Linked DNA regions of Macaca fascicularis. Each later gene encodes a partner of the first gene's protein in a complex. Links are inferred from orthologs where the notes say so. Each region holds a gene or a part of one and is shown on either strand. Other genes may lie near its edges.

Evidence for each region.
Region 2: MED12 (region 1) and MED13L share a complex: the UniProt entries of both Homo sapiens proteins name them as parts of the mediator complex. The link is inferred for Macaca fascicularis from reciprocal best matches to the Homo sapiens genes MED12 and MED13L.
Region 3: MED12 (region 1) and MED25 share a complex: the UniProt entries of both Homo sapiens proteins name them as parts of the mediator complex. The link is inferred for Macaca fascicularis from reciprocal best matches to the Homo sapiens genes MED12 and MED25.

The regions. Positions count from the first base shown.
Region 1 is NC_088395.1:77,836,999-77,840,628, reverse strand, and holds part of MED12 (mediator of RNA polymerase II transcription subunit 12), read right to left. Parts: intron 3,129-3,630; coding exon 2,754-3,128; intron 2,531-2,753; coding exon 2,380-2,530; intron 2,223-2,379; coding exon 2,017-2,222; intron 1,854-2,016; coding exon 1,776-1,853; intron 1,686-1,775; coding exon 1,468-1,685; intron 1-1,467. UniProt on the Homo sapiens protein: Component of the Mediator complex, a coactivator involved in the regulated transcription of nearly all RNA polymerase II-dependent genes.
Region 2 is NC_088385.1:123,225,407-123,229,153, reverse strand, and holds the start of MED13L (mediator of RNA polymerase II transcription subunit 13-like), read left to right. Parts: upstream 1-872; 5' UTR 873-995; coding exon 996-1,067; intron 1,068-3,747. UniProt on the Homo sapiens protein: Component of the Mediator complex, a coactivator involved in the regulated transcription of nearly all RNA polymerase II-dependent genes.
Region 3 is NC_088393.1:57,813,996-57,817,642, forward strand, and holds part of MED25 (mediator of RNA polymerase II transcription subunit 25), read left to right. Parts: coding exon 1-68; intron 69-371; coding exon 372-459; intron 460-555; coding exon 556-749; intron 750-1,194; coding exon 1,195-1,323; intron 1,324-1,797; coding exon 1,798-1,883; intron 1,884-1,961; coding exon 1,962-2,019; intron 2,020-2,169; coding exon 2,170-2,277; intron 2,278-3,647. UniProt on the Homo sapiens protein: Component of the Mediator complex, a coactivator involved in the regulated transcription of nearly all RNA polymerase II-dependent genes.

The DNA.
Region 1 (3,630 bases):
GATTTTACACTCCATCCAGGCCCTTCTCCCCAGACACCATCCTCATTCTTGTCCCCATGTCTTTGTTCATGTTACATCCTCTACCTGGAATGCCCTTTCCTCTTCTCCACAAATCCCAATCACAGCTATTCTTCAAAGGCCAACTCAAGTCTGACCTCCTTCATGAAACATTCTCTGATGAGTCAGGCCCACAGATACTACCCCGTACTTTTTCTCAATCCGCATTTTACCTCATAGCATACAACTGCATACCTGATTATATCTTTGCTCAGAGTGTTCTCTCAATGTTCTTCTGTAAGTCTCATCTCCCCAGCTATAGTAAAGATTCTTTGTAGTGAGGAACTATGCATTTTGGGGTTTTTTGCTATCTTTCTTCACCTCACCCAGTCCTGGTATAGTGCTGGCCACACAATGGGCAGTTAGTCCACTCCCCAGTGTTCTTAATCCCAAGCTTTGGAGTCTCTAAACATGGTTACAAGGCCTGAACTAAGGCTTGACTAACATTAACCATGGTGGGAGGATTCATTCATTAATCCATCCTGGTATTCAACCTGGTATTTAAAGCCGGTACCGGCTTTAGGACTCCTTATCATGTAGTTCATCTATGAACTCCAGATATTTTTTTTTTTCTTTTTCTTTTTTTTTTTTTGAGACAGTGTCTCACTCTGTCACCACTGCAGTGCAATGGCGCAATCAATCTTGGCTCATTGTGCGATTACATCTCACTGCAGCCTCAAACTCCCAGGCTCAAACAATCCTCCCACCTCAGCCTCCTGAGTAGCTGGGACTACAGGCATGCACCACCATGCCCAGCTAATTAAAAAAAAATTTTTTTTGGCCAGGTGTGGTGGCTCAGTTCAAGACCAGCCTGGGCAACATGGCGAAACCCCATCTCAACTAAAAATCCAAAAAATTAGCTGGGCGTGGTGGTGTGTACCTGTAGTTCCAGCTACTTGGGAGGCCGAGGTAGGAGGGTCACCTGAGCCTGGGAGGTCGAGGCTGCAGTGAGCCATGATCATGCCACGACACTCCAGCCTGGGCAACTGGAGTGAGACTCTGTTTCAAAAAAATATGTTTTTTTTTTTTTTTTTTAGAGATGGGATCTCCCTATGTTGCCCAGGCTGGCCTCGAATTCCTGGACTCAACTGATTCTCCCACCTTGGGCCCCCAAGTGCTGGGACTACCAGTGTGAGCTACCACACAGCCCAGATTTTTCCATGAGTCAGATAAACAATTTCCCCTCTCTGGGCCTCAAAGAACTGTTAAGGAAGTACACATGAAACTATTGGTCTCCAGGGTCCCTTCCAGCTCGAGACTTCTGTGGTTATGGGCTATGTGGCCAGATAAGTATTCTTGACGTCTCCGAAAGTTCTGACCAGTCCCATCACCTTCAGGCACGGGCTTTCCCAAGTCAAATGCTCCCTTATACCTCTGCATCTCTTCCTAGCTCACCACTACTTTGGGTACCTTTGAGTGGAGGTCAGTCCATGTCCATAGGTGGGGGCCTGCTGGTGCACATAGCCACTGGGCCGCTGTTGCAGGTGGCGGGTAGGATCTACAAGAGTAGGATTGGTAGAAGGGTGGGTGCTCTGGTAAGGCTGGCTGGAGTAGCTGGGGGGCACCATGGTACCTGCAGGGCCTGTGTGTTGCTGCAATCCCACATGAGAAACATAAGGAGTATAGCCCTGGAGGGAAGGAGGAGAGAGGGAATCAGGGCTGAGAGTATGCAAAGCAGCTTGCCTCATCCCCCGAGTCTCACAATCCCAGGCTCTTACCTGGGAAGTCTGCAAACCGTAGGAAGAGCTGGGAGTCATCTGATGGACAGATGACTGTCCCAACATGCCCTGACTCTGCTAAAGGGAGAGAAGAGAACAACTCAAACTCAGGAAATGCTTGCTGCCATCTCATCTCTTGTGTCTCCTGCTCTGAGTGTCCTTGTGAAGATCCCGTGTCTCCTCAGTCCTGTGACCCTCAAAAGCCCCTCTCCCTGACAGCCCTCCCTACTGCCCCTCTCACTATCTTTGCCTGGAGCTGTTGGCGAAGGCGCTGTCCTTGGGGCACCGCAGGTTGCTGCTGCCGGTACACAGAGGTCTTATAAGAGGAGGGTTCTAGGCCCATGACGCCAGTCATGGTTGTGGGCAGCACTCCAGGGTAAGTCGGTCGGGTGGGCAGCTTCTGCATTGGTAAGCGCACAGGGCGGTACGGGTCCACACGAGGGCCACCTGGAAAGGAGAGTGGGCTGACCTCTAGGCTCCTCATCCCTCTGTCTCTTGCTCAATGTCCTTGACATCCATAGCTCCTCAGGGGAACGGCATCACCCTTTGGGCAGGGGGAGTATACACCTAGGTCCCTCCAGCATTCCTAGTGACTGGCACTCACCTGCAGGTAGTGGCTGGTTCTGGGTGTACAGGCCTATGGAGCCTTGCCTGTAATTAAGGTGGGTTATGGAACCAGGGTTTGGGTGGTGCAGGAGGTCTGGAGGCACTGTCACACCATAAGGGCCGCTCCGACCCGGGCCCATTCCATAGTCCTGTGTGAGTGACAGAAGAAGAGGGTGAGTGGGTTGTAGCTGAGTGGGGTCGGGGAGCTGGGGGAGAATGAGGTAAAGAGGAGCTGGATTCGTACATGGTTAATTTTTATTATGATTCTAATGGCACCCCTTCCTTATGCGCCCCCACCCCTCCCACAAACCAGAAACTGGAGCGTCATGAAGTAAGAGGCTGTGGGAGAACTGTCATGGGGGAGACGCTCACCTCTGTCTTGGCAGCTGGCTGGCTGCGTTTCTTGCCCTTGGTGGACTTCTTCTTGCGTTCCTCAGTGCTGGGTGGAGCAGCCCCCGGTTTGTCAGTTTTGGGGGGCTCCGGAGCCTTTTTCTCAGGCTCTAGCAGGGTAGGAGCAGGGGGCTCCTCATCTTCTGGGGGCAGTGGCAGCGGCTCCAGGTAATAGGCGCGGGGCCGGGGCCTCAGGTGTGTGTGGTAGAGCAGCAACCGCTGCTGCTCCTCTCCTCGAGCCACTCGCCGGTCCACCCGCACTGTTCCAAACCAGCCCCAAGACAGCGGTGCTGACGGCTTCAACCCCTCAAAAAGATCCCAGGGCGAGATCTTCTGTTTGGTGGAAACCTGTAGACCCTGCTCCAGAAAATGAAAAACAATAAGCTGTTGGGACTTAGAAAACACAAGAGAGACCGCAAGCACTTGTAGGAGTGGGTAGAAAGTCATAGGTAGATTCAAGAGAGATGGTAAGAAACAGACAGACACGGATACACACATACATGCAGAAGAGAGTTATGCGGGGAGAGAGTGAAGGGTGGGGGACAGGGAGAGGTATGGAGGCGCAAGATGAAGCCAGCCAGGACCAGGAGAGGAGACGAATGAACGGGGCGGGCGGCGGGCGTGTGGGGAGAGAAGCCGAGACCGGGAGAGAAAGGGGTTGGGGAGAAAGCCAGAGAGGAAGTGGGGAGGGAGAGGGATTGACATTCAGAGGCAGACAGAAAAAGGAAGGCAGAGAAAGAGAGAGAGGAAGGCAGGGAGAGATTCTGCCTTTAGGCAGGCAGAGAAAGACAGAGTCAGAGAGGGAGAGAGAAACAGGAAGAGAGACAAAAAGGTGGAGAGACAAAGAAAGGCAAACGAG
Region 2 (3,747 bases), on another chromosome or scaffold:
TCCCGCCCCGCCACGATCAGTGCACCGCGAGGGGGCGGGGCGGCCACGAGGGGCAGCCCACGGCAGCCACGGGCCGGCAGTCCGCCGCCCGCCGGGGAGCCCGGCCGCCTGCACTTCTTTCTCTCCCTCTCCGCCTCCCTCCCTCCCTCTTCCCGGCTCGAGGACCCGGCCGCGCTCGGCTCAGCAGCGCCTCCCGCGAGCCGCCGCCGCCGCCGCCGCCACTCCGGACCCCTCCCCCGCCCGCCCCCTTCTCCCCCCGCGCGGCCGGCGCCCGTCACGTGACCCGGCACCAGCCAATGGCGGGCCGAGCCGCGGTCGGCGGCCGCCATTGCTGTCAGAGCAAGCGAGCCCGGGGAGGGAGGAGAAGCGAGGCTGACTGGGGAGGAGGGGGGGGTGGGGGAGGAAGAGGAAGGAGGGGACGTCGCTCGGCTGCCGGGGTCGCCCGCTGGCTTCGTCCGCACCCCCCCCTTCGCGAGTTCGCGCTCCGCGGCGGCGGCGGCTCCGAGGCGGCGGCGGCGGCTCCGGGGCTCGCCTCCCCTCGCGCGCCGGCGGGGGCCGAGGGGGAGTCGGTGGCTGGAGATAAACAAGGCGGCGGCAGCGGCGGCGGCGGCTGAGGAGCAGGGAAGGCGGAGGCGGCGGCCGGCCCGCAGCGCCGGCCCGGGAGGCAGCGGCGGCCCTGAGAGGCGGGGTGGGCGCCGGGCCGCACGGACAGCGCCCCCCGCCGCCGCCGAAGCCGCCGCAGCCGCCGCCGCCGCCCGAGCAGGAAGGAGCCGCGCGGCCGCCGCGGACCCCCCCGCCAGCCCGGGCCCGCCGCCCCCGGCGCGGCGTCGCCGCGGCGCCTCCCGCCTGCCCGCCGGCCCTCGCGCCCTCCCCCGGCGGCGGCGGCGGCCCGGCCGCCCCGCGCTCCCCGGCGAGGCGCCGCCGCCCGGCCCGGCCTCGCCTCGGACGCCTCGCTCCGACATGCCCCGCTCTGGCGGCCGGGCTCGCGGAGGATCATGACTGCGGCAGCGAACTGGGTGGCGAACGGGGCGAGCCTGGAGGATTGTCACTCCAACCTCTTTTCGCTGGTGAGTAGCCGGGCTGCGGGGAGGGGGCTGTGTCGGGGAGGGGGGGCTCCCCGACCTCCGCCGCCGACCAACTTTCTCCTCCCGCCGCCGGGACTTCGCCCCTCCCTCGCGTCTCCCCGCCGTTCGCCTCTCGCCGATTCTCCCCCTTTTGGATCGTCTCTTTCTCGCCTTGGATCCCATCCAGTGTTTATTTGGCTCTTTAAAAATCATTTGTGAGCGCGGCGCTCGGCGTGGAATTTGCATGTGGAAGTCTCGGAGCTGCGGATTCTGGGTCGCACTTCGAACGCCCACCCTCTGTTGCAATTGCACTCCCCTTCTCCTCCCCTTTCCCCCCTTTTTTTCCCCCCTAAATGTGGAAGGCTTTGCCTTGTGCTGCCCGCGCCTCCGATCGGCAACCTCTTCCCCGTTGTCGGATCGGCTGCCTGCCCGCCCGCCCGCCTGCCTTTTGAATTTTTTTAAATTCCATAATGACACCTGCAATTTCGCCCGAAAACAGTTGATTGAATGCGATTGTGTCAGGAAAGGACTCTTGCACCCGAAGCTCCCGCGATTGTAAACATCGACAGCCGCTTGCCTCTCGGGGCTTACTACGCTGGAGAGCCGTAAAGCCATTGCACCGAGCCGACGGAAGGTGGAGAAAGCTTTTTTTTCTTTCTCTCCTTCTGTGTCTTTTAAAAACTGTTTTCTCTGTCCTAACAACGAATCCACACACACACACACACACAAAAGCAACAAGCTGGGCGGTTTGATAACATCGCTTTTATCTGCTTTCGCCTCTCTCGCGCTCTCTCTCTGATAATTGACAACTTTTCCTTCGGATTTGAATCGCCTGCCTTAATCTTGAAGCAGTTAGGGTGTCAATTGTTCTCGTGGAAGCCTGGCACCCGCCGACGGCGTCTAGATTCATCGAAATTAAAAATGTATAGGGCTCCAGCAACTCTTTCCTGGCGGTGGCAGTGACATTTGGTGGTAAATGCCATCTTTGCTTTTTATTGGGTCGTATTACCTACCTCTGAAAACATTCACGTTGTTAAACCTGGCGTTTAGGCTAATAATTGCAGTGCGTGGTCTTTAAATATGTGCTTTGTGCATGAATTACTGTATGTATAGCTATGTGCCCAGGAGAGTACGAATTTGTTTAAATATTGAGCAAAGATTTGTAAACAGATGTAAGGCAATTACGTTTCAAGCGTAGAATATAATTGGAAAATTGGCTGAACAGTTTATTTAATTTATCCTTAAAAACACCCAACTTAGTTGTGTACCCTGGTTTTTTTAGGGGGAGGTGAGTCCCTTTTGGAGAACATACATTTTGGAAATTATTTTCTGTAACCCCCGCTGTAGATAGAAGCATCATTTCCCTCTTAATCCTTGTTTACACTGGATAAATAATTTAGTGTTCAAATTGTAATTAGTTACATTTAATTATGGGTGGCCTAGATGCTTTTTTGCTATGAGACTAATGGAGAAATGCAAATTCTCGCCAACTTTTCAAATGAAAGTATTATGTTATTAAATGTGTTACAATACAGACCAAAAAATCAACACACGCGATTTTTACCTACAAAGACCGAGTGACATAGTATCATTGATCCCACTCTAGTAAGATCAGGTAAATTTTTTTAAATGAAATATTTTAATCCAGATATTTCATCTTAAAATTCAGTTATAAGTTGGAATTCTTTCTCTTAGTATTTTGATAATTTTCCCTTGATTTTTTTGGTATGTGGGAGTAAAACCCCCTTTTGCCCCTTCTTTTTCCCTCCTCAGTCTTATCATTTGGTATCAGTCAGGTTCAGGGACTTTCACAGATTAGCAAACATATTGATCAAGGGGTATTTAAAATGGTTTTTGTGTGGTTACTGGTGATCACATTGACACAGGTAATTAAAATAACCAAATAGAGAGATCTCCCAAATTATCATATATTATGCTGACTGGTAATGACTGTGTATATACAGATTGTGTAGACGTATGAAAGTGTATGTATAGCCAGTCTTTTAGGGTATATCATTTCTTTTATCTTTTTTTTTTTTTTTTTTTAAAGCTTAAGTAAGAATGATAACGTTACAGAGATAACATGCTTGAGATTCTTTTGGAGAAGCAGTTTTGTAGGAGAGGATTCTGTACTTTGATTTTGACTGACTAAAGGTTTGTGTTTCAGATATTTCTCCCCTAAACCTCTTTAAACCAAAGGATTGATTTTTGAATATGCTTTTAAAAATAATTATTTTTTAAGTAGCAACTTTGAAATAGAGAACTGTAGTAATGCTTAGTTGATTTTTTTTTTTTTTGAAAGGAATGTAGAATGTCTTCATTGTCTTGTACATGGAGTGTGGATAAGGTGCTATTAAAGAAATCTAAACTGCTGACTTGTACATTTTTCTGATTCCAAATTGATATTTTTTTTGAAAATGCTATACAGAAGCAGCAACCTGGAATATTAAAAGTATGTTGCCTAAAGTACATTGTATATAATAGTTATTTCTGAAGGAGATCTAATCCCTTGTTCAAAATAAAGCATATTTTTTATAAGAACGCTTTATGGTTTAATCATAGCTTGCATTTTTTTCTTTTGGCCTGCAGATTTTTTTTTTCTTTTTTTTTTAAAGCAGAGAAAAGTATTTATAAAGAATTTACCTAAATACTCTCATTACTTAGATTGAAATAAGAAATTAAA
Region 3 (3,647 bases), on another chromosome or scaffold:
CACCCTCCGGTGCCACTCTCTCAGCAGCTCCCCAGCAGCCTCTGCCCCCCGTCCCCCCGCAGTACCAGGTATGGATGTTTCCAGGAAGGGACATGCTTCTGGGGACTTGCTGGAGCCCTGGCCCCTGGGGAGAGATCTAGTTGCATGTTGGAGCTTGTGGGATGATGGGAGTCCCATGGGACATTGGGAGGGTGGGACTCCTGGGGCCATGGAAGCTCATCTGCTAGGTGATGGGTGTCGTGAGCTTCTGAGCTCTCCCAGCTGGGGCAGCTGTGCCTTGTGGGGCCGTGGGTGGTGTGACCTCGTGGGACACCAGGATTGGAGGGCCATGGTCCTCACCAGTCCCTTTCCTTCTTCCCTTCTACCCACAGGTTCCTGGGAACCTGAGTGCAGCTCAGGTGGCCGCCCAGAATGCAGTGGAGGCTGCCAAGAACCAGAAGGCTGGGCTGGGCCCTCGCTGTGAGTCCTGGGGCGAGAATGAAGGGGCGGGCAGGGGCCAGGCAGGCCTCCCTCCACACACTTGTTCCTCACTTCTTCCCTTGGTCTCTCCCACAGTCTCGCCCATCACCCCTCTCCAGCAAGCTGCTCCCGGAGTGGGTCCCCCCTTCAGCCAGGCCCCAGCTCCCCAACTACCCCCAGGACCCCCTGGTGCCCCCAAGCCACCACCTGCTTCCCAGCCCAGTCTGGTCTCCACCGTGGCCCCTGGCTCCGGTCTGGCTCCCACAGCGCAGCCCGGGGCACCGTCCATGGTAGGTGCCTGCACACCTCCTGCCCCCACTCCTTCCTCCTGCTGCCCACAGCTAGGACAGTTAGAGGATGAGTCATTTGCCTTCCAGGGGGGTGTGGATCTGGTGGCCCTGGGGCCTTGGGGGTTCGTGGTACGTGTGCTGCAGATGCCTGAGATGAGGGTCTGGGGACGGAATGGGGAGGCTCATGGCTCCAGGTGGGTCAGGGCTGTTCTGAGAAACACAAGGAATCCCTGGGTTTGGGAGTCCGGGGCATCACACAGCTTATGAGTCCTGGAATCCTGCAGCATCCAAGCATTTCGGGTCCTGGGGCTGGCCAAGTGCTCTTCTGGGAATGGATGAGCAGAAGAAGGGGCCTTTCCTTCTTCCTGGTTTGCCCTCACAGGATGGCCCCCGGAGGCCCCCCTCTTTCCTCATTCTCATGGCCCTCCTTCCTCCTCTCTGGCAGGCAGGCACTGTGGCCCCAGGAGGGGTGAGTGGCCCTTCCCCAGCCCAGCTAGGAGCCCCAGCCCTCGGTGGGCAGCAGTCAGTCTCCAATAAGCTTCTGGCATGGAGCGGGGTCCTCGAGTGGCAGGAGGTGAGGGGCCTGAGGGTCCATTGGGCACTTGGGACTCCTGGGGCCATGGGGCTGGGCATGTGGGACTCATGGGTCACATGCATGGGGTTTGCAATGCTGGGTTTGGGGGCATTCCTTGGGCTGGACCCGTGGGATCCGGGACCAGGCCAGGAGCCCCATGGAGCAGTGGGACTTGCGGTACAGAAGAGAGTCCCCATGCAAAGAACCCAGAAAAGCCTAGGATTTGGGGCCCAGAGAAGGGCCCAGGTGATGTAGCACCTGGGGCACAGTGGATTGTGGGATTTAGGGGCCGGGAACGTAGCCCTAACATTTGAGGAATTGAAGGTTTGCTGGTCTGGAGGAGGGGCCAGGGGCTCATGGGACTTAAACTGGGGAACATCCTGAGCTTTGGGGCCAGCAGGCTAGGACATGAGGGCTCAAGGGGACTGAGGCTTATGGCCCATTTTACTTTGACATGCTCTTTTTCCCCCTCAGAAACCCAAACCTGCCTCAGTGGATGCCAACACCAAGCTGACACGGTCACTGCCCTGCCAGGTCTATGTGAATCATGGCGAGAACCTGTAGGTGACTGTCGGGTGGGGTGCGGTGGGGCTGGGGCTGGCCCCCTCCTCACACCTCTCCTGGCATCACCCCCCCAGGAAGACTGAGCAGTGGCCCCAGAAGCTGATCATGCAGCTCATCCCCCAGCAGCTGCTGGTGAGTGGTGGTGGAGGGCCAGCCCTGCTGCCAGGCAGCCCTCACCCTACTGTCTCTTCCCTGTTCCCTGCCCTACCCCCACTCCCTGCCTCGTGTGCCCACCTCACTTGCCCACACCAACATGCCAGCTGACTTCTGTGTCTCCCGCAGACCACCCTGGGCCCTTTGTTCCGGAACTCAAGGATGGTCCAGTTCCATTTCACCAACAAGGACCTGGAGTCTCTCAAAGGCCTCTACCGCATCATGGGCAATGGCTTCGTGAGTCCAGGGCATTGGGGGCCGAGGGGCATTAACTCTTGTACTGCTTTCTGCTGACCTTTGAAGGGAATCCCAGAGTGCCTGGGCCCATGGAAGCCGTTTTTGATGGTTGGGTGGACTTCATGCCCTTAGGTTCCTCGCCTTTCTTCTAGAGCCTTGACTTTTATTATAATCATCGTATGCACCAGATTGAGGGATATTCCACATTAAAAATGTGAGCTGGATGTGACTGGAGCAGTTAGGAGGAAGCTGTTGATTCTGGCATGGGTTTATGGGATGTGTTCGTTTCCTGTGGCTGCGGTAACACATTACCACAAGCAGAGGGGCTCAAAACAACAGAAATGTGTTCGATCCCAGTTCTAGAGGCCAGAAGCCCAAGGTCAGGGTGTTGGCAGGACCGCGCTCTCTCTAGAGGCTCGAGGGAAGGCCTCCTCATTGCCTCTTCTAGCCAGTAACCCCAGGCTGCAGGTGGCATCGCTCCAGGGTCTTCCTTGATCCTGTGGCTGTCTGCCCTCTGTGTGTGTCTCTATGTGGCATTTTCTGTATCTCTGTGTCCCTGTGCTTATAAGGACATCAATCATTTTGGATTAGGCCCCATTTTCCTGATCTCATCTTACTACAACTGCAAAGACCTTCTTTCCAGATAGAGTCTGGAAAAGGTGCTGGAGACTGGAACCTCAGTTTAGCTTTCTGGTTTTGTTTTTTGAGACAGAGTTTCACTCTTGTCACCCAGGCTGGAATGTAGTAGTGCAATCTTGGCTCACAGCAACTTCCGTCTCCCGGGTTCAAGCGATTCTCCTGCCTCAGCCTCCCGAGTAGCTGGGATTACAGGCATGTGCCACTATGCCTGGCTAATTTCTGTATTTTTTAGTAGAGACAGGGTTTCACCACGTTGGCCAGGCTGGTCTCGAACTTCTGACCTCAAGTGATCTGCCGCCTTGGCCTCCCAAAGTGCTAGGATTACCAGTGTGAGCCACCGCACCCAGCCTCAGCATAGCTTTCTGGGAGACACAGTTCACCTTGTAACTCGGGGAAGGAGCAGATCAGTTACTTCTGTGCACCAGGCATTCCTGCACGAAAGAGGACCTTAGGGATCACCTCATGGGATCCTCACAGAACCGTGTGAAGAAGGCATTCCTGAGAGTTAGGAGTGCTTCTGGCTGCAAATAACATAGTTTTCCAAACAAATAGATAATTGGGGGCACTCAGAAAAAATTTTCTCTTATGATTCTGTGAGTCACCTGGGCTCAGTGGCCATCTCGCTTGGGGACTCTCATGGAATTGCCATCAGATGGCAGCTGAGACTCTGGTCGTCTGAAAGCTTGACTGGGCTGGATGTTCAAAATAGGCGCTCCTCATAGGCCGGGCGT